Elephas maximus indicus: one gene and its partners. The protein of the gene in region 1 interacts with the protein of each later gene in a pairwise test. Links are inferred from orthologs where the notes say so. Each region holds a gene or a part of one and is shown in the gene's direction. Other genes may lie near its edges. The genes, in order: HOMEZ, AEN, ELOA and MAD2L1BP.

The links.
Region 2: the proteins of HOMEZ (region 1) and AEN interact in binary tests that used the Homo sapiens proteins (3 or more experiments, as listed by UniProt). The two-hybrid records come from large-scale screens. The link is inferred for Elephas maximus indicus from reciprocal best matches to the Homo sapiens genes HOMEZ and AEN.
Region 3: the proteins of HOMEZ (region 1) and ELOA interact in binary tests that used the Homo sapiens proteins (3 or more experiments, as listed by UniProt). The two-hybrid records come from large-scale screens. The link is inferred for Elephas maximus indicus from reciprocal best matches to the Homo sapiens genes HOMEZ and ELOA.
Region 4: the proteins of HOMEZ (region 1) and MAD2L1BP interact in binary tests that used the Homo sapiens proteins (3 or more experiments, as listed by UniProt). The two-hybrid records come from large-scale screens. The link is inferred for Elephas maximus indicus from reciprocal best matches to the Homo sapiens genes HOMEZ and MAD2L1BP.

What each region holds. Positions count from the first base shown.
Region 1 is NC_064828.1:34,618,166-34,625,904, reverse strand, and holds the start of HOMEZ (homeobox and leucine zipper protein Homez), read left to right. Parts: upstream 1-4,721; 5' UTR 4,722-4,893; coding exon 4,894-4,933; exon of another isoform or gene 4,934-5,031; intron 5,032-7,739. UniProt on the Homo sapiens protein: May function as a transcriptional regulator.
Region 2 is NC_064831.1:77,118,517-77,125,432, reverse strand, and holds the start of AEN (apoptosis-enhancing nuclease), read left to right. Parts: upstream 1-3,895; 5' UTR 3,896-3,972; intron 3,973-6,916. UniProt on the Homo sapiens protein: Exonuclease with activity against single- and double-stranded DNA and RNA. Mediates p53-induced apoptosis.
Region 3 is NC_064821.1:64,161,184-64,168,540, forward strand, and holds the start of ELOA (elongin-A), read left to right. Parts: upstream 1-4,349; 5' UTR 4,350-4,364; coding exon 4,365-4,517; intron 4,518-7,357. UniProt on the Homo sapiens protein: SIII, also known as elongin, is a general transcription elongation factor that increases the RNA polymerase II transcription elongation past template-encoded arresting sites.
Region 4 is NC_064819.1:108,058,201-108,065,556, forward strand, and holds the start of MAD2L1BP (MAD2L1-binding protein), read left to right. Parts: upstream 1-4,351; 5' UTR 4,352-4,422; coding exon 4,423-4,468; intron 4,469-4,981; coding exon 4,982-5,244; intron 5,245-7,088; coding exon 7,089-7,356. UniProt on the Homo sapiens protein: May function to silence the spindle checkpoint and allow mitosis to proceed through anaphase by binding MAD2L1 after it has become dissociated from the MAD2L1-CDC20 complex.

The sequences.
Region 1 (7,739 bases):
GTGGATTTTTTCTTTTTTAGAATGAGAAAAGATAACACCAAATTATAATTTTTAAGAAGTTGACAATATCGCAATATCAAGAAAAATAACACATTTTTAAAATAACCTGCCTGGCAAAACCATAATACTTTTTTTTTTTTAACTGCATGCTTTTCAATAGGCTTTTCTCATGATGATAATATATAATGTTTTCTATAGAAAGTATAGGAAGGTAATTCAGTCTTTCCTCTTGCATGGCTGATCATTACTTTTTTTTTTTTTAATTGCTAAGTTAGAAAAATTTCACCTTCACATCTTGTTAGTGGTGAAGTTATATATTTTTAGAACTTTTGTCACATTTTGGAAAACCTCTGACAAGTTTCTTCCATATATGTGGTCATAGCATTTCAAATTTTCTTTGCAATGACTAATGTTATACAGGGACCCTAGTGGTGTAGTGGTTAACTGCTACAGCTGCTAACCAAAAAGATCAGCAGTTCAAATCCACCAAGCCACTCCTAGGAAACCCTATGGGGCAGTTCTACTCTGTCCTATAGGGTCACAATGAGTTGGAATTGACTCCACAGCAACAGGTTTTTTTTTTCTAATGTTATACAATAAAACCTGTGATAGCTGGAACCTGTGTAAGGTGGAAACCTGTCAGAGAAGGAAAACTCAAATATTTTCCACGAAATAGAGAGTAATAGAAAAATAGTAAGAATGCACTGTCAAAGGCAGAAAACTTGCAAGACCTGGAGATACAAAGCAGTCCTTCAGGTTCCGGCTCTCACAGGTTTCACTGTATGGTATTATACTCTTTGAATTGACGACATTAAGAGTATTCCTGGGAGCTATACCTACACAAAGACAATTTACTCACAGAAGTAATTGCAAACCACATAAATATACCTACTAAACCCAAACTAAATATATCCTCAATTCAAATTCCTTAGCCAATCCTAAAATGCCTGTGGCCCCTCTCCACTGCCACCTGACAAAAGAGGAAGTGTGATGGAAGGAAAGCCAGAAAGGAAAGAGACACCTATCTTAACCAATTGCAGCTAAAAAAAATTTTTTTTTCCAAATTTTACAAAAACCTATTACCATGTGAGCATATTGCTGGGTCCCCTCCAGTGCCTTGGAAAGAGGTCTGTGCAAGGGAGGGCCCTGAAACTCCAGCTTCTTAAGCTACAGGGAAATGTGCCTCTGGTCAGTCTTGCTAATATCTGAGCCAAGAAAGGGAGGTGAGTGGATAAATAATCAACTATATAATACCAAATAGCCACTTTTTCCTGACAGCAACTTTGAGGATATAACACATCCCCACTTTTCACTTCTCTGTTCAATTCTGACACCCTCCCCATGCAGCACTTCTTCCTCTGACCTTAAGCACCCTGAGTTAGGTCAGATCTCAAAAGTTAAAGCCCACAGACCTCCAGACTGCCAGGTGGGCCTAAGACCAGATGCCAGCAGCAAGTTTGGGATTCCACAAGACACCCGTAGTTCTATATGGAATGTAAGCATGCCCTTTGGGACATGGAAACTCTGTCTTGGGAACCCTCCCAGACTTTGCCCTTTGTAGGCTACAAATTCAGAGTTTTTCCACTACCATTTGAGGATGCCAGCTGCAAGCTTGGGGGTCTCACCCAGGCTCTCACTTCTAGTCTCCTGGCTACAAGTTCGGGGTTTTGCTACTATCCCTCCAGGACACCAGCCATAAGCTTAATTGTTCCCATAACCCTCCCCGCTTCACTTCTGACTTGCTGACCCCCACTACTCCCTTAGGTTTGATAATTCGCTGGAATGATTCACAGAACTCATGGAAACTGTTATGATTATAGCTTTATTATAGAAAAAATGGACACAAATGAAAAGACACAAAAGGCAAAGTCTAGGAGGGCTCCCAAAACAGAGCTTCCATGTCCCAAAGGGTGTGCTACAGTCCCCCATGCACTGATGTCTTTCACTAACCAGGAAGCCCATGGAACTTCCATGTCCATATTCTTTATTGGAGCCTCATTGTATACGCATTATTGATTGAATCATGACCCCTTCCCTGTCTGAGAGGTCACCTGCTACAAGGCCACCTGGTGGCCTTCGTGGCCTGGCCAGTCCCCCACTCATTTGCACAATAAACCAAAAACCAAACCCATTGCCATGGTGTCAGTTCTGACTCATAGACTGTCCCACAGGGTTTCCAAGGAGCGGCTGGTGGGTTTGAACTGCCGACCTTTAGGTTAGCTACCAAGCTTTTAAACACTGTGCCACCAAGGCCCCAGATAATAAAACTAAAAAACCCAAACCCATCAAGTGGATTCTGACTCATAGCAACCCTATAGAACAGAGTAGAACTGCCCCATAGGGTTTCCAGGGAGCAGCTGGTGGATTCAGACTGCGGATCTTTTGGTTACCAGCCGATCTCTTAACCACTATGCCACCAAAGCTCCCCAGATAATAAAGGCACCTCAGTTAGTCAGGAAACTCCAAGAGTTTAGCGATATCTCTCAAGAAACAAGGGCAAAGACCAAATTACTTTGAGTAAAGTTACACTCTTTACCCCACAGGGGGAGAGAGTTTTCACCAAAGATGGAGGATTAACATCTCTAATATTGAGGATAACAAGATGAGTCCCTATTCTTAGCACTACAGCAGTCCCTGGAAGAGCTGGGAGGGTAATTGTCTTGCTAATGATGGGACCTTCCCTTCTCTGATAATGTCAGCTTGGACCTCTTCCTCTTCTCTATTCTCCTACCCTAAATCACTCCATCTTCTAAAACTTCAGGGTGAAACACATGTAGAAGAGGGAGGCTTCAATTTGCACTCCAGAATTGGGGCAAGGGAGTTTGTTCTCCCTTCCTTGCATTCTCTCTACTAAATCTGTCTTCCATTCTGTTCCTGCCCCCACTCCTAACTCTCAGACAAAAAAGGGAGCTGAGTTATTCACCTTTCATAATTCCAAGCCCATAGTCAGTGATGCCCAGAGTGACTCACTTAACCCTCCAGGGTCAGGCGCTTCATTCCCACAGCCAGTTCCTGTCAGCTTTCCAGCCAAACAAGCATGACTTCTTCCCAGTCAATCCAGTTTTACTAATTGTTTGGATGAGAACAGAATGACCTCTCCACTGGAAACTGAGGGCTGCTGCTGCCTCAAATGTTTCATTTTTCCCTTCCTTCATTAAATAAAAACCATTGGAGGACTGTAATAGCCATGATTTAGAAGGTCTGTATACACCTGGCTCTTACCTTGAGGGATCAAAAGTTTCTAACCCTAAAGCTGAGTATACATGCTTCTGTTGTTTACCCCTAAGATGTTTTGCCAGATAATACTTGGAAGGACATCCAACTTGTATGTAAGACTGGATATTGTTATTAAGCGTAAGGAGGGAGAGGGAGAGGTGAGGCAAATACAAGGCCAGTAACAGAAAATAGGGTCAGCACTGAAAGAGAGACATGTTTATGATGTCAGGCAACCCTCAAAGAGCTCCAGCCTTAAAAGTGGACCAATGAAGAATGAGAAGTAGGAGTTACGTGGTTGTTTTTTTTCTTGGGTGGGGGTGGGGGTGGCTGGTGAGGCCTGCAGAATACAGCGTAAAGCGTGGAATTGTTTTCTAAACTATTGTAGCTACATAAGCTATTAAGTGACCTAAATAAGCAAGAAGAGACTATTTCAAAGACCAGCATAAGAACAGAGGCACATCGGAAATACATTGTTCCCAAATTTTAGTCAGAAGATAAACAATTCTAAATATACAAACTTTTGGTCCAGAACTTCCTAGCGTGTGGCATACTGCCTGGGGGAAAATCCATTTCGTTGTCAGCCCTTTCTTGACAATGAAAACCAAGGTCTCCAAATATGAGGCAGAGGTCCCGGTTTTTACAGAGGCAGGGAAGTGGGTCGGAGGGTCTGATAGGTCCCAACTGGTAACCCCTCAGGCACTTTGTCTCGGGGAACCTGTCTGGTACCAACTTGTCTGGGGGAAGCAGCAGGAGACACCGGGATCATAGGATCCTCAACTTTCTGAGCGGCGAAACATCAGATTCATCTCCAGAACAAGTTCCTTTTTGCTTTAGGTTGCTTTGCTGGAGCTGACTGCTGGTGACGACTGGGCCTCGGCTGGGGAAGTCACTGCACATACATAGGGCTAGGGACCAGACTATCAGCCCTGGAGTCTGCTCTGACTCAAGGCAACCCCATGTGTGTCAGAGAACTGTGCTCCTCAGGGTTTTCAAGAGCTTTTTATCAAGAAGTAGATTCCCAGGTCTTTATTCCCAGGCGACTCTGGGTAAATGTAAATCTTCGACCTTCCGGTTAGCTGCTCAGTGCGCTAACCGGTTGCACAACCCAGGGACTCTAGGGTTAGGGAATGGATGATAAAAGGGGCTTCCTAGAGTGCTTTTCTCAGGAGGAAACAGCCGGGGGTAGCTGTTGGCGACCTGGACACTTCGGCAAAGTGCTCGAGCCCCTCCCCAGGGAATTCCGGGAGGGACATTGGCCGGTGTACTTCCACGGTTCGGCACCGATAGGATGAGGGTGGCCCCGCGGGGCAGCTTCCCTGCCCACGTACCCAATAGCCCACGCCGCCGGTGGCTCACGGAGCCAATAGCTGACTTCAGTCAAGGCCCGTACAGCCAATAGCCGACCCAGTACGTTCCGCCGGTGACCGCCGGCCTGCGTCCACCAATCAGAACTCGGGCCACCCTGGCACCGCCCCTAGGCGCGCGCCCCACCCATCCGCCCCGCCTCCAACTCGCTCGAGCAGGGCTGGGCTAGACGGGCGCGCTCTCGGGGGCGGGGGGGGGTCAGTCCCGGTCCGGGCCCTCCGCACGGGTGGGCTCGGAGGAGGCCGCGCGGGGCAGCAACCTTACTCTCATTCCGGAGGCCCCCTGCCCCCTCTTCCCCTTTCCCCCCGGCCCATGGTGCGAGGCTGGGAGCCGCCGCCGGGGCCGGACTGCGGTGAGTGATCCCCAGCTCCTTCGACTTCCCCTCCCAGACCCTCTACGATCCCCGACCTCCGGAGCCCCATCCCCGCGCTGGAAGGAGGAGAATTCTAGGTTCGAAGCCGCCGGCGCTCCCTCCTTTCTCTTGTGGACTTTGCGGCTCCCTGTTGTATCTGGGGTAGGGTGAGTGGGTGTGTAAGGAGGGGGAGGCTGGGTTGGTACGCCCTTGAAGAGGGGAAGATTGAGATTCGCCTGCTCTTCGGGGCTCATCGCCCCAAGTGTAGCAACTTTTTGTTCTCTGACCCAGTTCAGAGCCTCCTAGACTGCTTGTGAAATGGAGGACAGGAGAAACGTTTCCTTCCCAGGCCTACCCCCCCCCCCATGGCTACTTCCTGGCGACCTCAACACACGTACCTGGCCTTCTGGGGAGCAGTGACCTTTGGGAATGAAGGGTTAACAAGAAACTGCCCCTTCTCACCCTAACCAGCCATACTCAGAAAACCAGCCAGGAAAGTGAGAACTCGAGTCCTCAGAGGTTCCTGGTGTTGCGTCCTCATCTGAGACTTCTAAACTGAAAGAAGACTCAAGATGAGACCTACTTGGTAATGTGGGCCCAAATCAGATCTTTTATCCTGTGAACCTACTTCTCGCCATACACTGGAAGCCCTTTTATGTTATATGATGAGGATTGGTAGATGGCAGTAATCAAAACAGAGTTGGGAATTTAAAAAAACGACGCCTATATATCTTAAACATAATTAAAAGTACATTCATTTCACCAATATTTTGGTATAGTGCCAAGATGGTTTCTTTGTGTAAGTCTAAGTCGGCTGATTGGTGTTCCCAGTTGTCTTTCTAGTATAAACTACAAGAGTGATTCTGAAACCCTGAGAACTTTTAAAATCTACCAATGCCAGGACCCCAGTCCAAACTAACACAAAAAGGGAAAACGGGGCCTGGCTTTTTTTTTTTTTCCTTCAGTTTCCCAGGTAATTCTAATTTGCAGTCTTACAGATGAAAGCCTCTATGTACTATACCCATAATATATCATCTGTGATTCCAGTTTTGGTTTTAAGATTCCCCCTTCCCAATCTTTTACAATTGTCTTGCTCACTCCCAATTCAACAATTATAAAAATGTATTCCCCGTTGTGTCATGTCTAAGTCAGCATTTGACTTAGTTTTCACAGGAACGGTTTTTAATGCAGTAATTTTTTTCACAGGTTTATGTGGTATTTAATTACATTATAGAAATACAGGAAAAGCTTCTGGCATAAGCAGGTGTGGAATCACAACTAGCCTAAGCACACAGGGCAGCTTGAGGAAGCAGGCTGAAGCAGATTTTGTTGCAGTATAGTCTACTAGCCTCTAGTATTCAGTGCACCATGGGTATCACTCATGTAATCCAGTGGGTCACCAGGCTTCTGACCCTGTTGAATACCCCTGCCTTCCACTCTCTCCAACTAATACCACTAATCCCTTCTAGGCTTATTCAAATTCTCGAGTCCTCCATCCACTTTTTCCATTCATTCACATCAACATGTTTGTTCATCTTTAAGTGATTACCATTATTGCCTTAAAATTGGAAGCCATAAAGCAGAGGTTTTTAACTTGGGCTCCTGGCAGACAATGACCAACCCCCTGAGATTATTTATAATGTATAAGTGTGAATGTTTATTGTGAAAGGGTAGTCATAACTTTCTAAGAGTCCATAACTTTTCTCTCTCAGAGGGATTCATGATCCAAAAGTTAAGAACCATATAAATTGAATACCACTAGTTCTTTCAGATACTTAAAACTGTATCACCCAAACACATTTCAGGCAGCATGTCAATTCTTCTGGAATAAATGTTTGGGGAGCTTAGAAGGATCATGTCTATTGCCCCACTTTGACCGTCTCCTACTTTAACCATAAGCCTAGGCTTGAGCCTAAAGTTCTAAAGTCCTTTTTTTCCTCAGACTGTGTGAAGAATGCCTAGACTGCAAGCTTAAGGTAGCCCCTTTTCTGCCATACACCCAGGGGTGTGGAAGGCCTGAGGGGAATTCCTTCTGGGTGTTATACTGATTCCATATTTCTTATTAGTGACTTTAAGTAATAGTAGAACATATTTGGCATAGTATCCTTTGTTAAAGATTATATCCTTATTAAGGATACAGATTTAGTAATTACTCAGAATGGACCGCCCCCCCGCCCCAATCACCTCTGCCCTAGAAGTCCTTCTTCAGCTTTGAGTCTTTTCTTTTTCTACCTAATCCAGAATGGAGGCATGAGAACATAAGACACTGTGGTATGTTCGTTGTGGTTTTGATTACTGTAGGGTACCTGCCCCACTTGTGACAGTTCTCATGAGCCACTCTGATTGTAGTTTCCTCCTATTTCAAAGCCAGATTCTTCTAGGGAGGTACCAGCTATATAGCTGCCCCTTGATTTAAGCCATCCTTCTGTTTCAGGAAATCTTCCACAACTTGTGCTTTCTGTAAGTGAAAACTGCGGCTGTATACCATACACTAAATATATTATTTGCATTACTGCATGCTACACTGAAATATCAAGCTGACGCCATGAGAATCTAAAGGGTATCAAATAAATAACATGAATGAAAGCAAAATGCCTCCTTGTAGGCTTGTAGCTGTGCCTGCCTTGTGTTCCTGTCTGGCAGTTTTCATCGTCACACTGGACAGCTTCATTCCTTACACTACCTTTCCTCATATCTAACGTGTTATTGTGTCCTTATGGAACAGTTTATATGAGGGTAAGTAGATGTCAAGTGTTGCAATTATGAAGTACTCTTCAGCCTGGATTTGGCGGTGGTCCTGCTGGGC
Region 2 (6,916 bases), on another chromosome or scaffold:
TGTCTCTTGGGTTCATAATTCTCTTGTGACCTTGGTGTTCTTCATTCTCCTTTGATCCAGGTGGGTTGAGACCAATTGATGCATCTTAGATGGCTGCTTGTTAGCATTTAAGATCCCAGATGCCACACTTCAAAGTGGGATGCAGAATGTTTTCTTAATAGAATTTATTTTGCCAGTTGACTTAGATGTCCCCTGAAGCCATAGTCCCCAAACCCCCGCCCTTGCTCCGCTGACCTTCGAAGCATTCAGTTCATCCCGGAAACTTCTTTGCTTTTGGTCCAGTCCAGTTGAGCTGACCTTCCATGTATTGAGTATTGTCCTTCCCTTCACCTAAAGTAGTTCTTGCCTACTATCTAATCAGAAAATAACCCTCCCACCCTCCCTCCCGCCCTTCTCTCGTAACCACAAAATAATGTGTTCTTCTCAGTTTAAACTATTTCTCAAGATCTTATAATAGTGGTCTTATACAATATTTGTCCTTTTGCATCTGACTAATTTCACTCAGCATAATGCCTTCCAGGTTCCTCCATGTTATGAAATGTTTCACAGATTCCTCACTGTTCTTTATCGATGCATAGTATTCCATTGTGTGAATATACCATAATTTATTTATCCATTCATCCGTTGATGGACACCTTGGTTGTTTCCACTCTTTACTATTGTAAACAGTGCTGCAATAAACATGGGTGTGCATATATCTGTTCTTGTAAAGGCTCTTATTTCTCTAGGATATATTCCGAGGAGTGGGATTTCTGGGTTGTATGGTAGTTCTATTTCTAACTTTTTAAGGACACGCCAGATAGATTTCCAAAGTGGCTGTACCATTTTACATTCCCACCAGCAGTGTATAAGAGTTCCAATCTCTCTGCAGCCTCTCCAATATTTATTATTTTGTGTTTTTTGGATTAATGCCAGCCTTGTTGGAGTAAGATGGAATCTCATTGTAGTTTTAATTTGGATTTCTCTAATGCCTAATGATCAAGACCCAAAAGCAAACCCAGTGCCGTCGAGTTGATTCCGAGAGCTCTCTTTAATTTGTTAAGTGTCAATTTACTCAACTGTAAAATGGAAATAATAATAGTACATAACACACTGTATTCTTGTGCAGATTAAATGAGCATATTGCCTGGCTTATTGTTAGTGCTCACACACTAAATTCATACTGCTTATCATTGCTCTTTTTATACATGTTGCATCAAATTATCTGTTCACCTGGCTGTTACCTTGCCAGATTGTGTGCTTCTTCTGTGTATTTCAGCACTGGGCCCAAAGTGGTGTTATTGTTGGCTGGCCTCCAGACTGACTCACGGCAACCCTGTGCACAAGGGTCGGAAAACATGCACTATCCCAATGGTCTGTTGCAGATTGGACGGCTGTGATCCATAGGGTTTTCACTGGATGATTTTCAGAACTAAGTCTCCAGATCTTTCTTCCTAGTGTGTCACATGAGGTGTCCTGGCTGGAAATCAAAGCCAGGTCTCCCGCATGGAAGGTGAGAAATCTACCACTGAACCACCAATACCTCCGAGGCCCAAAGCAGAAACTTAACAACTTACTGCAGGAGGATAAATGAAAGAATAGTGCCGAAGGAGCAAACCTGACTTCTAAAAACCTTTACCTAGTATCTACCATGAACATGCTCGGCATTTCTCAAGCTGAAAGAAGAAGAAACATTCAAGTCTCGAGTTGCAATATTGAAGGCTTCTATGGGCAAAATACTGAATGATGCAGGAAGCATCGAAAGAAGATGGAAGGAATACACAGTCACTGTAAAAAAAAGAATTGGTTGACATTCAACCATTTCAGGAGGTAGCATATGATCAAGAACCAATAGTACTAAAGGAAGAAGTCCAAACTGCGTTGAAGGCATTGGTGAAAAACAAGGCTCCAGGAATTGACGGAATACCAATCAAGATGTTTCAACAAATGGATGCAACACCGGAAGCGCTCATTGTCTACGCCAAGAAATTTGGAAGACAGCTACCTGGCCAATCAACTGGAAGAGATCCATATTTGTGCCCATTCCAAAGAAAGGTGATCCACCAGAATACAGAAATTATCAAACAATATCATTAATATCACACGGAAGTAAAATTTTGCTGAAGATAATTCAAAAACTGTTGCAGCAGTACATCAACAGGGAACTGCCAGAAATTCAAGCTGGATTCAGAAGAGGAAGTAGAAGGAGGGATATCGCTGTAGATGTCAAATGAACCTTGGCTGAAAGCAGAGAATAACAGAAAGATGTTTACCTGTGTTTTATTGACTATGCAAACACATTCAACTGTGTGGATGATAACAAATTATGGATAACATCATGAAGAACGGGAATTCCGGGACACTTAATTGTGTTCGTGAGGAACCTCTACATAGACCAAGAGGCAGTCGTTCAAACAGAACAAGGGGATACTGTGGTTTAAAATCAAGAAAGGTGTGTGTCAGGGCTGTATCCTTTCATTATACTTATTCAATCCGCATGCTGAGCAAATAATCTGAGAAGCTGGCCTGTATAAAGAAAGACGTGGCATTAGAATGGGAGGAAGACTCATTAACAACCTGCATATGCAGATGACACAACCTTGCTTGCTGAAAGTGAAGAGGACTTTAAGCATTTCCTGATGAAGATCAAAGACAACAGCCTTTGGAATGGATTACACCTCAACGTAAAGAAAAAAATCCTCACAACTGGACCAATAAGCAACATCATGATAAATGGAGAAAAGACTGAGGTTGTCAAGGATTTCATTTTACTTGGATCCACAATCTATGCCCATGGAAGCAGCAGTCGAGAAATCAAAAGATGCATTGCACTGGGCAAATCTGCTGCAAAACACCTCTCTAAAGTGCTGAGAAGCAAAGATGTCACCTTGAGAACTAAAGTGTGCCTGACCCAAGTCATGGAATTTTTAGTTGCCTCATATGTGCACAAAAACTGGGCAAATAAATAAGAAAGAGTGAAGGAGAATTGATGCCTTTGAATTATATTGTTGGTGAAGAATATCGAATATACCATGGACTGGCAGAAGAACGAACAAATCTGTCTTGGAAGAAATACAGCCAGAATGCTCCTTAGAAGTGAGAGTGGCTAGACTCATCTCACATTCTTTGGACATGTTATCAGGAGGGACCAGTCCCTGGAGGACATCATGCTTGGTAAAGTTGAGGGTCAATGAAAAAGAGGAAGACCCTCAATGAGATGGATTGACAGAGCGGCTACAACAATGGGCTCAAGCACAGCCACTATTGTGAAGACGGCCCAGAACTGGGTAGTATTTTGAGCCCCGTTTTTTTGGCCCGGCCCAGCGCAGCCCAGCCCAGCCCAGCCCAGCTTGAACCAATGCGAAGGCACCTACCAACATAAGCATTATTTCACGAAATCCTCACATCACCTGGAGTGGTCCGTGTATTACTCCTAATCTGACTCTGTAAGTCACTGGTGGGAGGGGGAATAGGATCCCTGTTGGTGCAAAGGTTAAGGGCTCAGCTGCTAACAGAAAGGTGGATGGTTCAAACCCACCACCTGCTCCATAGGAGAAATGTGCAGTTTGCTTCCGTAAAGATTTACAGCCGACGAAACCGTATAGGGCAGTTCTACTCTGTCCTATGAGAAGTCGGAATCGACTAGAACGTCTGGTTTTCAGAGTTTACAGGCGTCCAGCTCCCGACCCTGGGGACGTAGGTGGGAGCCGGCAGGTTGGAGGAGCCCAAGCTTCTCTTCCCGCGGTTAAAAATCTCCCGCCAGCGCGGCCGGCGTAGGGGCAAAGCCACACCCCTTTCGGGAATCTCCTCCCTTTCTGCAGTCTTACGCCCACTCCAGAGAGGCAAGCTCTTGACCAATCAGAAGAGGCTTTAGGCGGGCGCTGCTGTTCAGCGAGCCAATCGGCAGGCAGTCGGAGCCGGGCTTGCCCGGGCATGTGGCAGCTGCCGGTCCGGGGTCCACGTGCGGGCAGGAAGAGACGTAGGGGACGTTAGGTGAGTTGTAGGGGTTACGCACTCGGAGCCGGCACCGGGTGGGCGGCGCGGAGGGTGCCGGGCCGCGAGGCTCTGTGCGGCCGTGTCCGTCCTCGGCCTGCGGCGGGCGGTGCCCAAGCTCAGTCAGCCCAGTTCTCTGGGCCGGCGAGGTTGCAGGCCGGGGCCCCGGCCCTGCTTCTGCCCGGCCCCTGGCCTGCTCCTGTGGTCCCGGGGCTGAGGGGGCCAGCGCTGGGCAACGGGACGCGCGGCCTGGCGGGGCTGGCGTGGCCGCCGCGGCCCGTGGGCAACACGCGAGTCCTTCCCTGGGTGAGGTCAGGCCTGCCTCGCGTCGCTCCTCGGAGAAGGCCGGCCAGAGGAGATCCTGCGGAGCTCTGCTCGCACTTTTTTAATCCCTCGAACTTTTTAATGTCACGGGGACCTTCATCGAGCCAGATGGTCTCAAATTTGGGTGCTTTTCAGAATCATAGGTTCCGGGGTCGCGCCAGCTCTAGTTTAAAATACAGATTCTCAGGCCCATTTCCAAGAATGGCTGTTCAGAATGGCCTGGAAACAAGCGTCCTAAATGTTTCCGGTAATTAACTGCGTTGGGGGAGCCCTTAACCTAGTTCAAAGGCCTCCGATTATGGGGAAGGGACGTCCCTTGCCCCGGTTCGTTAGGCTCTTGAGTGCCAGAGCAGGGTCTAGAGCTGCCCTTCTGATCAGCCAGCAGGTTGGTAACCCCGAAGCCACTGGCGGTTTTTGTATTCTGGTTCCTTTGGGGCCCTTGCTCTAGGGACTCTGCTGCTGGGGCCTTTCTCTTGGGCGAGGGACCCTGCCCAAAGACCCAGAGGGCTCGGTTCGGCTGGAGAAAGAGATTTGTTTTTGTCCTTGTTGAAACAGTTTTGATTTTTGAGAGAAACTTCTTTACAGCTTCGCTTGAGAACTTTTGGTTGTGACATTTGGCAGCAAGGTCTGGGCATATAGAAAAGGTTGCCGTCATCCCGTGAAATATGAGACCATAGAAGCCTTTTTTCAGGGAATCCTAATTTCTGGCTTTGACACCCTGCCAGCATAGTCTGGAGGGCCACCAACTGGAGTCCCAGACTCAGCTCCAGACCTACAGAGCCCTCTCCCAGAGAACGGAAAGGGAAATATTATCTCCCTAACACAAATCAATTATTAGAAGGGTCAGTTTTGTTCTTCCCATTGCTGGGCTAAGGCAAGTGGAGATTCTGTATTTGTCAGCTCTAAGATGTGACTCACCAATGCGAAGAAGTGGGTTACGTATTAAGAGAACTTTTAAAAGGGAGAAAGAAGCCTTCTTGGGGAAGGGACAAGCAAGCAGGGTGGATGAGTCAGGATGGGTCATCATATCTTGCCCTGGCCTCGGGTGTCTGAGCCCTGCTCATGCAAACAGTGACATCATCCAAACCCCATCCGGTCACCAAATCCTGGCATCTTACTTCATATCCCACCCCCTTCCCATTTCTCTTAACCGTTTCAAGACCCAGTTATTTTCTGCTTTGGATTTTTTATTGGTAGGTAGTATGGATTTTCCTGCCCCCCTCCAACAATCCTACCCTCTGAGTCCCGAGGGACATAGTTGCCCCACTAATATTACCCCAGATGCTCCCTGGAGTTAAAGGGACATATGATGATGTCCCAAAGAAAAATTTTCAAAATTTCTCTTTCTCCAACCAGACATACACACACCTCATACAACACCTTGTAGAAATAGTAATTTGTGGTACGTGCCTGTTTTTTCAGTTTCAAACAGTCATCAGGGCCCCTGCCTTGCAGCAGCATGCACTATTGGCGGGAAAGCAGCTTCCCAATGAACCTGAGGTGGGAAAAGTGGGTGGGCAACTGGATATTCCAACTGTCATGAAATGGTTTTAATTCTTAGTGTTCTTGTCTTGTCCTGACCTCCCTGTAAAGGCAGTTATGATCCTGTTGCCCTCCAGTCTGTTCTCCGGCTTTCTACCAACTCTTAATTCAGCCCTTAATTTTCTGCTTCTGTTTCTGTTTCTGTGGATAGACTGAACTCCTAAGAGTCCAGGATCCATCATAGTAATTCTGTGCCCAGCACCTGGCACAGAGTCAAGGAGACCCCAGAGAGCCTTGCTGTGGCATTGGAGAAAGGGGTGTTCCAGAAGGGCTGCCTGGGGGATGCAGAGCAGCAGCCATGTCTGAAGGGGAAGCTGGGTAGGAAGTGAGGGAGGAGGGAGGTCTGTGGGTGGGAGGGTAGTGAGTCCGGGGGGCAGCACTGGCCTGGGGAGAGCTGGTTACCAACCGTTTGCTAGAGTGGGAGCCTCTCAGGGAAAAGAGTGATGGTTATTGTGCCCCACTATAGATAATAATATGCAGATCCCAGCACATATATTGTGTCCTTTCATCTCTGGACAGCAAGGGAGGTGGTGGTGTTAGGTGCTGTCGAGTCGGTTCTGACTCATAGCGACCCTATGCACAGCAGAACGAAACACTGCCTGGTCCAGCGCCATTCTTAAAATTGTTGCTATGCTTAAGCTCGTTGTTGCAGCCACTGTGTCAGTCCACCTCATTGAGGGTCTTCTTTTCCGCTGACCCTGTACTTTGCCAAGCACGATGTCCTTCTCCAGGTCCTGGTCCCTTCTGACAACATGTCCAAAGTATGGAAGACGCAGTCTCGCCATCCTTGCTTCTAAGGAGCATTCTGGTTGTACCTCTTGCAAGACAGATTTGTTTGTTCTTTTGGCAGTCCATGTATATTCAGTATTCTTCGCCAACACCACAATTGAAAGGCATCCATTCTTCTTCGGTCTTCCTTATTCATCGTCCAGCTTTCACATGCATATGATGCGATTGAAAATACCATGGCATTTTTTTTGGGTCAGGTGCACTTTGTCTTCAAGGTGACATCCCTGCCTTTCAAAACTTTAAAGAGGTCTTTTGCAGCACATTTACCCAATGCAACATGTCCATTGAT
Region 3 (7,357 bases), on another chromosome or scaffold:
TCAAGGCATCCTATGAAAGGTGTGGATTCTGAATCTCAGACATCACTCGCTGGAGCTGGCGCTCTCCACTTGCATTACTATATTTGAGAGGGTGAAGCCAGTCTGTGAAGCCCAGCAAGATGCCATCCCTAAGTAAATAACCAAGTGAACATGTTTGAAGGATGTGAAACAAAGATGAATGTAGTCAATTCAGAAAAAGGAGCCCATGGGAGAAGAGAACAGTGGCTACAGCTGTGCAGAACAAAACTGCCCAGATGGAGGATTTTATATCCTGCTTTACACAGAAGACGATATTCTCTTTATCAAGGCACTCAGTTTTCCCTAATAATTGATGCTTTAAAAAAAAAAAAAACCTATATGCTAGCTGGAGCCCTGGTGGTGCAGTGGTTAAGAGCTCAGCTGCTAGCCAAAAGGGTTTCCTTGGAAACCCTATGGGGCAGCTCTACTCTGTCCTATAGAGTCGCTCTGAGTCGGAAGCAACATCAACGGATTTGTTTGTTTGTTTTTTTAATATGCTAGTTACGTAACACAATGTATTAACAAGCCTCACAAGAAAGCAGTAAGGTAGAAGGAAACAATTTCAGTGAGTTTTAGTAACTTGACCAGGAGTCCCAGTTAGCAATAGTAGAGTTGGGAATTGGAGCTTAGGTTATCACTGAGCCCCAGCCTGTTCTTTACACCCACCATCCACGCAGCCTCAGATGCTGCCTCCTTGGTAAGGTAGAGGAGTGGCAGAGCCCAGGTCATGATCCGTCCCACGTGGGAAGCCCTCCACCGTTACCTCTCACTCAGCACTCTGTCCAGCCCGCAGAATCTCACTTGACCATTCCATGACAGGCAAGGGATCATTTCGCTACTGAGGGCGTGGTGGTTGACTGTGTTTTTTATTTGTTTGCTTTTTAATTTTTTTTTTAATTTCATTGATCTGTCTATATAATCACCCTTATATAGCCAGCCTGGGATTGTTCTTTTCCAAAATTAAAATATCTTTGTTCTTGTTAAAGTAGATCATATTTGCTGCAAATACTCAAAAAATATAAAAAGCAGAAGAGGAGAGCCTTCCTACCCATTACCCCCCTCCAAGTCACCGTAAACAGGCCTTCTGTGCAGAGTAGAACGGGTCCTTTAATCACCTCCCAGGGGCCTGGGTCTGTGATGCCGGTAAGAGAACTAGGGAGTTCCCCTCAGGGTTTCAAATGATACTCTGGGTTGTCCTTCAATTTAATAATAATTAATTCTGTTTTCAACCAACCTTCATTGAATGTCACCTCTGTGCTTAATGTTGCCGATCCAAGATGCCCCAAAACAGCCTTTGCCTTAGGAACTTATTCCGGTGTTGGATAAGACTGTCACATCTTCCTCCCTCGAAGCGGCTGTGTAAACTAACGTGATTGGAGAGTGGCACATACATAATTAACTGCTCATCAGTGGTTGTCGGTGTTAGGTGCCATTGAGCTTGTTCCAACTCATATGGACCCTATGTACAACAGAACGAAACGCTGCCTGGTCCCATGCCATCTTCACAATCATTGCTATGTGAGAGCCCATTGTTGCAGCCACTGTGTCAATCCAACTCATTGAGGATCTTCCTCTTTTTTGCTGACCCTCTACTTTACCAAACATGATGTTCTTCTCCAGGGACTGGTCCCTCCTGATACCCTCCCCCCAAAAACAAAACCCATTTCCGTCGAGTTGATTCTGACTTATAGCGATCTTATAGGACAGAGTAGAACTGCCCCCATAGGGTTTCCAAGGAGCAGCTGGTGGATTCAAACTGCTGACCTTTTTGGTTAGCAGCCAAGCTCTTAACCACTGCGCCACCAGGGCTCCAAGTCCCTCCTAGTAACATGTCCAAAGTACGTGGGTCTTCGTCTCATCTTTCTTGCTTCTAAGGAGCATTCTGGCTGTGCTTCTTTCAAGACAGATTTGCTCATTCTTCTGGCGGTCCATGGTATATTCAGTATTCTTCGCTAACACCATAATTCAAAGGCATCAATTCTTCTTCAGTCTTCCTTATTCATTGTCCAGCTTTTGCATGCATATGAGGCGATTGAAAATACCATGGCTTAAGTCAGAGGCACCTTAGTCCTCAAACTGACATCTTTGCTTTTTAACACTTAAGAGGTCTTGTGCAGCAGATTTGCCTAATGCAATCCATCATATGATTTCTTGACTGCTGCTTCCGTGCGTGTTGATTGTGGATCCAAGTAAAATGAAATCCTTGATAACTTCAATCTTTTCTCCGTTTATCATGATGTTGCTTATTGGTCCAGTTGTGAGGATTTTTCTTTTCTTTATGTTGAGGTGTAATCCATACCGAAGGCCATATTCTTTGGTCTTCATCAATAAGTGCTTCAAGTCCTTTTCACTCATCAGAGAAGTATCCATATATTCGAGCATAAAGAGTACTTTCCAGGTAACCTCAGCTCAGGCTGACACAGCTGGGAGACGGGTGATGCATCCTCCCCAGGATCCCCAGCAGTGTGTGGGCCAGGGAAGGAACTGCGTGCACACGCATGTTTCTTTTCATCCTAGTTGTTGAGATCTCCCTGGGCAACATGCACAAAACGTTCCGTGTGTCCCAAGTACGTGCCAGGGCAGTTAGTCAGCAGTTCTTCAAGAGCCAGCCCATATTCCATTACTCCAGCATTTGCCTGCTCACCACCTTTTCAAAATGGAAGGAACTGAAGAGATCATTGAAAGGCATTTGCTTCTAGAGGAGGGAGACTCCCAGGGAAAGGTAGGGCTGGGACTAGGATCCAAGTCTTCTAATGCCCAGTTTGGTGCCCATGCAGAGCCTTAGGGGCATCAAGTGGACAGTTGTTAATCTAGTATGGACTGTTTATCCAGTGCTGGTTATATTGCTGCATGGTCCTGGGCAGCAGAGATTCAAAATCGGACCAGTGAGTCACTGCACTTAATAATAACTGCCAGTGGCAAGATGGATAAGTTGACAACTTTTCTACAACCTGAAAAGGGCCAGTTGCAAGGGAACTTGGGGAGGGGCACCAAGCCAAGGGCTGGGGGACTGTTGGGAGGGCTTCCCAGCACAGTGAGTGAGTGAATGAATGCTCGTTTGAAGAAACAACTTATATTGAGTTTATTTTCCAGAGTTAGGACCTGGAGAAGAGACTGCTGAGATTTCCTGATTAAGGCTAGAGGTCAAACCGGCGGCACTGCACCTCTGGAGATCTGGCTAGGATCTAATCTGATTTGGCTAATTAAAAGAGATACATAGTAAAACCTGGGAAAGCCGGATTCTGTGTAAGCTGGAAACCTGTCAAAGAAGGAAAACTCAAATATTTTCCACTAAAATGAGTAATAGAAAAGTGGTAAGACTGCACCCTGACAGAAGTGGGAAATTTGCGAGACCCAGAAAAAAACAAGGCATCCTCTGCGAGTTCTGGCTTTCACGGGTTTCACTGTAATTAATGCTGACATTTTAAGTTTAGACTGGTTCCTCTTTTTTGTAGTAATAATAGTAAAATGAGACACATGGACTATTATTGCCCTTATGGAGCTAAGCTGTTTGACTTAGGACAAATTCCTTTCTCAGCTTCAATTCTGAAACCTATTCAGAGGTATGGCTCACTCTGGATCTAGACTTGAACCAAACCAAACCCGTTCCTGTCTAGTCCACTCTGACTCACAGTGACCCTATAGGACAGAAAAGAATTGCCCCATAGGGTTCCCGAGGCTGTAAATCTTTAAGGAAGCAGACTGCCACATCTTTCTCCCGCAGAACGCCTAGCGCGTTCCAACCGCCTGAACCGCCCACCTTTTGGTTAGCAGCCAAGCGTTTACCCACTGCGCCACCACGGCTCCGGACCTAAACTTAGATTCAATTTTTGGCTTCAACTCTTCCCCGTTGCATTACCACATGCAAGTTAATTTGTTCTCTCTGATCCCCAGTTCCATCTGTAAAATGGGGATAACGTAACTCGGTTCATCAGGTTTTGTGGAAGCTGAAATTAAAGGCAGTCCAACTACTGGCGCATGGTGCTCAACCCAGGGTGGTCGCCGTCGTTGACTCCCGCCGATTGACTTCAGGACCACCAGCGGGGGTGGCGGTGTGGGATTTATAAGGCCAGCGTTTGGCGCTGGACCCCCAGTCCGTCTGGGACTGCACGAGCGGATGTCATCCCGGCCTATGGCTCCGCGCAGCGAGGCCCAGACGCGCGGCTGCCCAGCGGCGGCCCTCGCGCGACCCGCGTGCCCAGACCCTGCGGCCCCCGGCTCGCGGCGCGCGCTCCCGGGCGCCCGGCCCCCCGGGACCTGGGGGCGGAGCCTGCGGCCGGCCCCGCGCCCCCCGCCCCCCGGCCGAGCCCCGGAAGGGGCCAGTCGCGCTTCCGTCTCCGCCGGGGATGCACGGAGGGCGGAGCCGCGGCCCGAGGACGCGACGCGGACCCAGTTCCGGCGAGGAGGCCGCGCCAGTGACAGCGATGGCGGCGGAGTCGGCGCTCCAAGTTGTGGAGAAGCTGCAGGCGCGCCTGGCCGCGAACCCGGACCCCAAGAAGGTGAGTCGGCGGGCTGCGCGGAGCGGGGCGGGCGTTGGCCGGCGCGGGCCCCGTAACGGTCGCGGGCGCAGCCGGGGTCTCCGAGGGTCGATCCAGCCCCCCGGGGCCGGGGACTCGGACCCCGTGCCAGGCCCGCGGGGCTCGCGGACCCGGGTCGGGAAGTTCGCGGCCGATCGGCCGCTTGCCACGCGGGGGCTCCCGGTGTCAGGCTCGCAGCTCGGCGGCCCCGGGCCCCGTCCCTCCCTCCTGGTCCCCGGACGGCGAGGGGCGCGCTCCTGCCCGGCACCGCGTGCCCAGGGCTGTGCCCCCGCCGGGCTCCCGGAGCCGCTCCCTCGGCGCCCCGAGCCAGCTGTTTCCTGTCGGGGTGGCTCGCCGGGGGCCGGGAAGGGCGCTCGCTCCGGAGTTAACTCCTGCCTGCTCCCGGTTCCTGCGCTGCGTGCTTAGCTCCCTTGCTCTCCCTGCGAAACGCCCTCGGTTTCTTAGTGTCTTTAGGTGCCCAGAGGAGACGGTACAGCCTGTGCACGAGAGTCTAGACTCGGGGTATGTGGGGTCCTGCGTCCGTAAGCAAGGTTTTAATCGCTCGCCGGCTTTATGTTAGAGCACTGACCTTTTCGCTTTCTCAGTGAGTCCCTTTCACAACAAAATAAATAAAAACTCCACTCATAGAAACTTAGGTTGAAATTGGGAAGGCGAAGAAAAAAACAAAAAACGTTAGAAGTTGCAGCTAGATTTCCTTCTGGCCTTGATAAAAAAGGCCAGAGTGATGGGCATTTTTATTTTTACCTATTTAGTAGCGCTCGTTTGTCTCTCCTTCCTCTTACCCTGCTTCTCGTCTCTGGGAGCGTCTGGTGGGTGTTAGGATTTTTCCATTGAGGTGTTTGTGAGCATTCTAACTGGGCTGTACCCATACCTAGAGTTGAACCTCTGAGCCCGAGAATCCTGTTCAAAGAGGAAGCAGTGGAGAGAGGCAGTTGAGATAAAGTCGTGGAGTTTGGGTTCTAATCCGTTCAGCAGCGTAGACGTTGGGGGGAAGTTCCCTTTGCTGAGCCTGTTTTATCACCTGCATCATCGCTGCTTCCTAGGACTAAACTAAAGCTATTACGTGCCAGGCTCAGAGTAAGTGCTCAGTGGGTATTACTTGCCACTCTTTAAAAAAGGCGTTTTTCTCTTTACCTTGTTCTTAGTCTCTCATAGGAGAGGTTTTCTCCATTTCCAAAGGCTGCCTACAGCTTCTCATCATCAGGTCACTTTTTAACTCTCCTTCCACTTTTTCAGGAAGCCATTTTAGTTTTAAACCTGTGAAAACTTAAATGCTTTTAATTGTGTTGTGTGATATTTTCTGTTGCAGCTTTAGTGCCTAGTGGCCAGGCGTATTTGCAAGTTGCCTTTTACAGTTACCCTTTGTGGTCATCTAATAAATGGCCCTTATTTCTGAGTACTAGTTTGTTTTCTTAAACACTGTAAGGTTTATGACTGATTTTAAAACCACAATGCAATATTATGTCACCATCCCCCATTTGGTCTTTATTTCCATCAGATAAAAAGTGGCTTATGTAGCATCTATAGTCATGTTTCCACTAGTATTTAAGTTTTGAAGAAGGCTTTCTAGTAGTTGGTGTGTATGAAATATCAAATTTGCAAAACGCTTGTTGGTTTCCCATCCTTCTTGAACTGTACGTGATTTTTGTGAGCATTTGGACTTTGTCTTCATGGGTAGAAAATCACCCTGAACTTCTGGCTTTGTACTGTGAAGTGAGCATTATGAAGATGGCAGAATGTTGGGAGAGATCATTTTTACAGAGGACATAGTAGCTGGCATTCAGAAATGGTTTAACTGCAGAGGGAAAATTGCAAGCTGGCACACTGGCTGCCTTCCCTTCAGCCTTCTGTTAATGCTACAAGCTCGCACAGGTTGTTCTTGAAATTGCAAGATGATTATATAGCAGTATTGAATTTGGAACCAGATTTTGATTTCAAACCATTATTAGCCAAAGCGTTGATTCTACACCTACGTTCATGGATTTTCTGGCATTAAACACTGGTGTTTAACTGTAACTCAGTTTTCACCTTTAAGCCCATTTATGATCTAGGCTTACTTGGGGAGAAGGTATTTGGCTGACCAAGGCCTCTTGGTTTCTGTTCCACCTATTTAATTGAAGACTATTTTCGTGGTTGGTATAGTAAGGCATTAACACTTTAAAAAATTTACCTGTCCTGTGGTACATTTGGGGGTCCCGCTGGTTCAGTGGTTAAGCGTTTGGCTGGTAACCAAAAAGTTGGCAGTTTGAATCAACCAGCCACTTCTTGGAAACTCTATAGGGCAGTTCTACTCTGTCTTACAGGGTCACTCTGAGTTAAAATCAACTCAATGGCAATGGGTTTTGGTTTTCGGTATGGCGTTTCTTGAATGCTAAAACTACAAAGAACACTATTTGGTAGCAGATGGAGAGCTAGGCAGTGGTGTCAGTAGGGGAGTACCAGGGTTGTAGACCACACTGGGTGACACTGTCAGAGGGGGTGACACCGAAATAACTGTCTATAAAATTTTTATGCAGTGTTTCAGCAGAAGTTTATTACTTTTTAATAAAAAAATTCCTGTAGTTATAACAAGAAAAACATTTTTTGTAAGCCCAGCTGACATATATCAGTATACCTACTAGGCTAAAGCTCTATGCTGATGTACTTTTTGAGCCTTCTAATGCGCTCTGGTCAGAGCTGTCATTATCACCCAATTACAGTGACACTTCATGTGGCTTCATCTACACGCTACAGGCACGCACTGTTATTTTGTTGCTGCCGGTGTTTTTTAGTGGCTGATTTTGTCAAATTCTCTGGTGTTT
Region 4 (7,356 bases), on another chromosome or scaffold:
CCTGGCTCCACCTCTGCCTCAGTTTCTTCCCTGATGGTTGGCGTGCCATCAGGGTGAGTCGGGGCGAACGCCAGGGTGGGGGCTGATGATGGTTAGCCTAATTACAGCTGTTATTGTTGCGATGATTATTGCCACCTTTACACAGTAGTCACTGCTTTATTACTAGAGCCGGCACAGTCCGGGGGCTGGTTTCAGCAGCCCAAGGCACCGCGGTGGCCCCAACACGAAGCCCTAACCCATAAACCGCAGTGATGCCTGAGGGCTACAAGGATACCCTTAGCGAATACCCTCCTCCCCTTTGTTTTGAAGCCGAACCAATCGGGGAGAACCGACGTCGATTTTAAAAGAGCCGGGGCTGTAGGCGGGGCTTGGCCTTTACTTGGGGCGGGGCTGGGGTTCCAGTAACAGCAATTCGGTTGAGGAGGAGGAGGTGAGTGTAAATAGAAACTTGGCCAAAGGCCACCGCAGATTGGTGACTTTTGACTTTCTTGCAAAGCCATCTCTTCCTCTCCTATTCTTTAGGCCACTAGCAGTCGGCAAAGAGTAAACACATTCAATGACATAAACTAGTGCACAAGACATCATCAGAAAGGCACGGTTGAGAACCAGTTAGTTTTGCTGGACTGGGAGTCAGGACGTCAGGGTTCAATTTCCAGCCCCATGGCTGTCTCACGACTCACTACTCACCGAATGTCCACCTCCCCTCTCTTCACAAACGGTGAGGTGCTCAAACACAGCCAAAAAATAAAACCCTTCCCTCCAGACCTCAGCTTTCCTTTGGAAAACTGGAAGCAGCAAATGTGGCTTACCTCTGGTGATCCCATCAAGGGTTCAGACTTGGTGGATTCCATGGCTCTGCCCAGGGCCACAAAGAGAGAGACAGGTTGTTGATCATGTAGTTGCAATCCACATGGCGTAAATACCCCAAAGAGTGAGATCGGCCCAAATCTGCAAAGTTGGCCCAAATCAGCCAGTTATGTGGGTCTTGAGCGGTTAAAAGCACATCAAGTGTCTTCTCTCTTCTCAACCCCGCGCAGCTGAAGGAAGAGCTATGCTGCAGAAGTCAACCCTATCCGGGGCACAGCCCCACCAGGGACACTGCTGCTTAGAGACTGAGACAGGAGAACTCAGAGATCTCAAGAAGGGTGGGGTTTGAAGCAAGAGCTAAGACCATTCCCTCAATAATTTCACCACCTCCATCTGGGCCCTCCTGATAACCACAGGCTGCTGCACTTGCCTGATAAAACACTTGTCCTCTCATCTACATGGATCTTTTAACCAACCCAAGACACACAGTTTAACCTCTTCTGTCTCAAATTCCTTGCCTTCTAAGTAGAGACCTTCTTTTAAGAGATCGGAGGGGATAGCCCATTCTGATATCCTATTCTTGAACAGTTGGACCTACCACAGACAGGAATGAAGGCTGGCAGAGGAGTAGGCTGAACAGGGATGTCTGTGCAGTAGATCGGGGTACTGGGAAATGGAGAATAGTATATACGTTTAGTTTTCTCAAGGTATTGTTTACGAGATACCTATGGCTGTGGGATATATATATATACATGGATATATATATATACACATGGATATTAGGAAACCCTGGTGGCGTACTGGTTAAGTGCTACGGCTGCTAACAAAGAGGTTGGCAGTTGAAATCTGCCAGGCGCTCCTTGGAAGCTCTATGGGGCAGTTCTACTCTGTCCTATAGGGTCGCTATGAGTCGGAATTGACTCGATGGCAGTGGGTTTGGTTTGGTTTTCGTGGATATTAACCTATTGCAAACATTTTTTCTGGCATATTTTAAAAAGCCCCTAAAAACCAAACCCATTGCTGTCGAGTCAGTTTCGACTCATAGCAACCCTATAGGACGGAGAAGTGCCCCATAGGGCTTCCAAAGCTATAATCTTTATGGAAGCAGATTGCCATATCTTTCTCCTGTGAACCACTGGTGGGTTTGAACCGCCAACTACTCAGTTAAAACCTGAGCGCTTTAACTATCTTGCCACCAGGGCTACTGTTTTAGTTATCTAGTGCTGCTATAACAGAAATACCACAAGTGGATGGCTTTAACACAGAGAAATTTATTCTCTCACAGTCTAGTAGGCTAGGCTTTCTCTCTGTCAGCTCTGGAGGAAGGTCCTTGCCAACAATCTTCCCCTGGTCAAAGAGGTTCTCAGCACAGGGACCCCTGGTCCAAAGGACGTGATATGCTCCTGGTGCAGTATGAGTTCCCCATATCTCTCTGCTCACTTCTCTTTTTTATATCTCAAAAGAGATTGGCTTAAAACACAACCTAATCTTATAGATTGAATCCTGCCTCATTAACATAACTGCTACTAGTCCCACCTCATTACCACCATAGAGATGGATTTTTTTTTTTTTTTAACACACAGGAAAATCACATCACATGACAAAATGGTGGACAATCACATGATATTGGGAATCATGGCCCAGCCAAGTTGACGGATATTTTGGGGGGGACACAATTCAATCCATGACAGCTCCTTTCTAGTACATAGTCAGCTAATTTTGTATACAATGCCTTTACATAAGTTTTAAACTCAGACCTAGCAATCTTTTTCTTTATGTTTTTTTGGTTAAGGGTCATGCCTAGGCCAACTCCTAGGTTACAAATTATTCTGCAATATTTTTTCTAGTAGTTTTGAGGGTTTGTTTTTATGTTCAGATCTTTAACCCATCTGGAATTTACCTTTATGTAGGGTCTGTGGTAGGAAATAACTTTATATTTGCTTTGAAAAGCAACCTTCATCATATATACTAAGATCCACATATACATAGGTCTGTTTCTGAACTCTTCTGTTTTGATTTGTTTGTTTATTCCTGAGTCAATACCACACTATTTTAATCACTATGTTTATGATGTTTTGACCTTTGGTCTCTGCTTCTCAAAACACTTTTCTTGGCTTCAGTGGTCCAACACTTACCTATTTTTTATACTTCTCTGACCACTTCTCAGTCTCCTCTATGGGTTCTTCTCTCTCTGCTCATCCCCTAAGTATTCGTGTCTTCAGAATCCTGTCTCTACACATCCTCATTCTACATACTCTCTCTGGGCGATCTTTATCTATGCCCATAGGGATAACTCAAAATATATCTCTCTATTCCAAATGGTTTTCCTGAATATCTCTATTGGCAATCCTATGGAGACATCAGACTCAACCATCATTATCAAAAAGCGAACTCATCTTTTCACCTTACCCATCCCCAAACAACCTGGTCCTCCTCTAGTGTTTCCTCTTTTATTGACTAGCACTATTGGCTACACAGTTGATGAAGCTGGAAACCTGCCTGAATTCTTGGTAGCCTCTATCTATCCCTCCTTCTCCTTCTCCTCAGATCAGCCACCAAGGCACGTTCACCGGACCTACTAAATATCTCTAGAGTTCACCCAATCCTTTCTACCCCACTGTGACTTCCCTAGTTCAGACCTCTTTTACCATGCCCTTGGATAACTGCAGTCACTATCTCCAACTGGTATCAATACCTCCTCTAGTATCCTCATCATCCAATGTAGCCAGTGTACAGATTAAATTTATAAAACGTAATCATGTCGTTCCCAAGTTAAAACCTTCAAACCTCCCCCTCCCCAACAAGATCAAGTTCAACTCTTTGAAGGGTTTATAAGGCGCTGCCAAGATCTGGCGCCTGTTTGTTCATTTCAGCTTTAACTCTCAATAATCTATGGTCTTTTCATTTCTTGAACAGAGGATGCTGCTCTGGTCTTTCAAGGTCTTCTGGAACACTAGGCCCTCCTCTTTACCTTGCTTATTTACCCATCCTACGGGTCACGCCTTCTATGGCATCATTTCCTCTGGGACCACCCTATCCCCACCCCATCTGGGTTAGGTGCCTCTGTTCTTTGCTTCCACAGCCCGTGTACACTTCAATGTATAATTCATCACACTGTATTTTATGGAAGGGCAGTGAACCCCTGAGAATAGGGCCAGTGTCTAGTGCATGCCTAATTCTCCAGCACCTAGGGGCTAAAAAAAAAAAAAAATTTTTTTTTTTTAGGGGCTGGCACAAAGTAGGTTCACAGTGAAAAGTGAATTCAGGCAGTGGATAGATGACTTCAGGGCGGGTGTCCTCTGGAAGGCTGACATCAGCGGCTCCCTGCGGGGAGGGGAGGCTAGACATGTCCGGTGTTAGGGAGGGAGTTGTTAGGTGCGGTCGAATAGGTTCCGACTCATAGCGACCCTATGTACAAAGGAACGAAACACACTGCCCGATCCTGAGCCATCCTCACAACACAGCGAGAAAAAGCAGGGTTCGATTCCCCAACTGGTCCAGCCTCCCTCACCCCCCTCTTCCGGCCTTTCCGATCCGGAAGTGGAGACGCGGGCTTCCCATGATGCCCCGCGGGGCACCCATTCAAACTGCAGGGCGAAGAGGAATGAGGTCGTGATGGCAGCCCTGGAGCCGGAAGTGCCGTTTGTAGACGCAGTCCCTGGTAAGGCGTGGGATTCGGAGCTCAAGGAGCCTTGGGGACCCTTTTCTTACAGACTACTGCTGCCTCCAGTCACTTAGCCCTTGGCCTTTTCTCCTGTCCATCGCCCTGTCACCCACTTCTTGGCGTTCCGCCCCGCTCTAGTTCTGCCCCAGTGACTCCCTTGCCTCCACGGCTCTGACTGCTGGCCGATCGCGCCCCCCCCCCGCCCCTTCCTCTCCGCGTCCTGGACCCCACTTGACTACGCTTTCTTTCGAGTTACTTCCCTAGATCTGTAGGCCCGCAGCTTTCTTGGCGGAGCTTCAGTCACTGCTTCCGAACATCCCACACCTCAGGCGAGAAGGATCAGGAATCTCTCCCCCCTACGGCCCACGCTGGCGGTAGCGGAGGGATTGCGCCTATGTCCGGGGGCCCTCTTCGCTGTAGTGGCTGATATAGTGGCCCTAAGAGAATGAAGAAGACTGACTTTGGCTTTTAAGCTTTTCATTTTTCTTTGTTCTTCTGCTCACGTACCAGATTTGGAGTGGTATGACAAGGCGGAGGAGACCCACGTCCCCCAGATAGAACTACTTGAGACTACCTCTGTTCAAGGACCTCTCAACCCTTCGGAACAATTTGGTCCTAGAGACTGCATGGTGCCAGTTGTGTTTCCGGGGCCTGTGAGCCAGGAAGGCTGCTGCCAGTTTACTTGTGAACTTCTAAAGCATATCATGTACCAACGCCAGCAACTCCCTCTGCCCTATGAACAGCTTAAGCACTTCTACCGAAAACCGCCTCAGGTAGGCACATGCTTTGGGGGGAATGTTGGTGGAAAAATGTTGTGGCTCTTAGATGGTAAACCAAACCCGTTGCCATCCAGTCTATTCTGACTCCTAGTGACCCTATAGGACAGAGTAGAACTGCCCCATAGAGCTCCCAAGGAGCAGCTGGTGGATTGGAACTGCCAGCCTTTTGGTTAGCAGCCTTATCTCTTAACCACTACTCCACCAGGGTTTCCTCTTAGATGGTAGACAGGCAAAAAAGGGGTCTAAGAATGCTTCAGGACTTGTCAGGCTGAGCGACTGTAAGGAAGGAGCCTGTTTCAGCCCCAGGGCTTCAGTCATCTTCTCCCCACTGTAGTCTTTGGTAGTCTAGCCGTCCCCACTTTTTCTCTTGTTGTCTTTCAGAAACTCATCATGTGTTAGTTACATATAGACTTGCTGAATTGACTTTTAGTGTCTTTTCTCTCCAAATTTTCCTCTCTTTCCTTTTTTGTTCTACTTCTGGGAGACTTCCTTGACTTTATGTTCTAACACCTCTGTTTTTTTGTTTTGTTTTGTTTTGTTTTTGGGCAGTTATATACTTAAGAGCACTTTCTTTATCTTTGTATGTTTCTTTTTAATAGTGTCCCGTTCTTGTTTCACTACTATATTAACTTCTCTTACCTGAAGGTAGTACTCTGTTCTTTCATGTGTCTTCATTCCTACCAAATTTCTTTTCCCATTTGTTTTGGTTTCTGACTTTCATGTTGGAAGCTTTTATTCTGTGCCTGCTGAATACTTAAGAGTAAGTCATTGAAAGCTGATCGAACACTCTTGGGTATGGTTGGGCCTTGTGAGCTGATGGACTTGTAAGGAGATTAGGTGGGAACTTAGTGGTCTCTTTGGGGGACTCCCGAAACATCAGTGGTGGAAGGTCTTCTCTCTGGGTCGGGGAGGAAACTGGCAGACAGTCTAAGTGTCTTTGCACAGCTTTTCACCCAGTTCCTTGTGTTTACTCTTGCCGTTTATGGTGCCTGATACCGCCGATTCCTGAGCCTTTCTGGGGTTCTGCAGAGTGAACTGGTTTGCTTCTAACGGGGTCCTCTTTGGCTGCACTTAGTATTCAGCTCTCTTGAACTCTGACTTATCCATCTGCTTTTACCTTCCAAAAATTTGTTGTGGCCTCTTGGCCACTGTTATGTATTCTCCAATTCTCTTTGCCCTTGGAAGTTTTTTTTCTTTCTTTCATTATCTTTCTTAATTTCTTTTCTCTCACTTTAGTAGTATTTCAGGTGGGAGCACAAATAAACATGTACTCAGTTTGCTATGTTTAAATGGAAGACCAACTCCAGAATCATTGTTATTGGACCCCATGATCCTCATTCCTGTTATCACTCCCTGTGCAGCAAAGATTTGCCACCTTCTGCCATGCCACCAAATCTCCTTGACTATTTTAGTTGCCTCTTTCTGGATGCCCTCCAGCTTCAGAGCACTGTCTTTGCTGTTCTAAGTGTGGGAGAATTGTGGTTTTGTGCAATGAATATGCTTTCCCTTTTGATACAATGCTCTCTGATAAAACCCAACGTTTTGGTAATGGCAGTTCACTGAGCTGGAAATCCAGTCCCATAAGTGTTCTTCCGAGGATATTAGCTGGGGCATTAACATCTCCCTATCTTGTCCTCTTGGAGCCGTGGTGGCAAAGCGGTTAAATGTTCGGCTGCTAGGCTAAAGGTCAGCAGTTCGAATCCACCAGCTGCTCCTTGGAAATCTTATGGGGCATTTCTACTCTGTTCTGTAGGGTCGCTATGAGTCAGAATCAATTCGATGGCAATTCTTTTTTTTGTTTATCTTGTCCTCTTTCCCACCGTACTTTGTCCTCACAGACAGAGGATGTGGTGAGGAAGAAACCTCGGACCGCCACTGAGACAAGCAGCAAGAAATGCCAGCAAGCCTTGGCAGAACTGGAGAGTGTCTTCAGCCACCTAGAGGTCCTCTTTGCCCGGACACTAGTACCACGAGTGCTGATCCTTCTTGGGGGCAGTGCTCTAAGTCCCAAGGAGTTCTATGAGCTCGACTTGTCCCGACTGGTCCCTGACAGCAGGGAGCAGAGCCTGAACACGGCGGCTTGTTTGCGCCGTCTCTTCCGAGCCA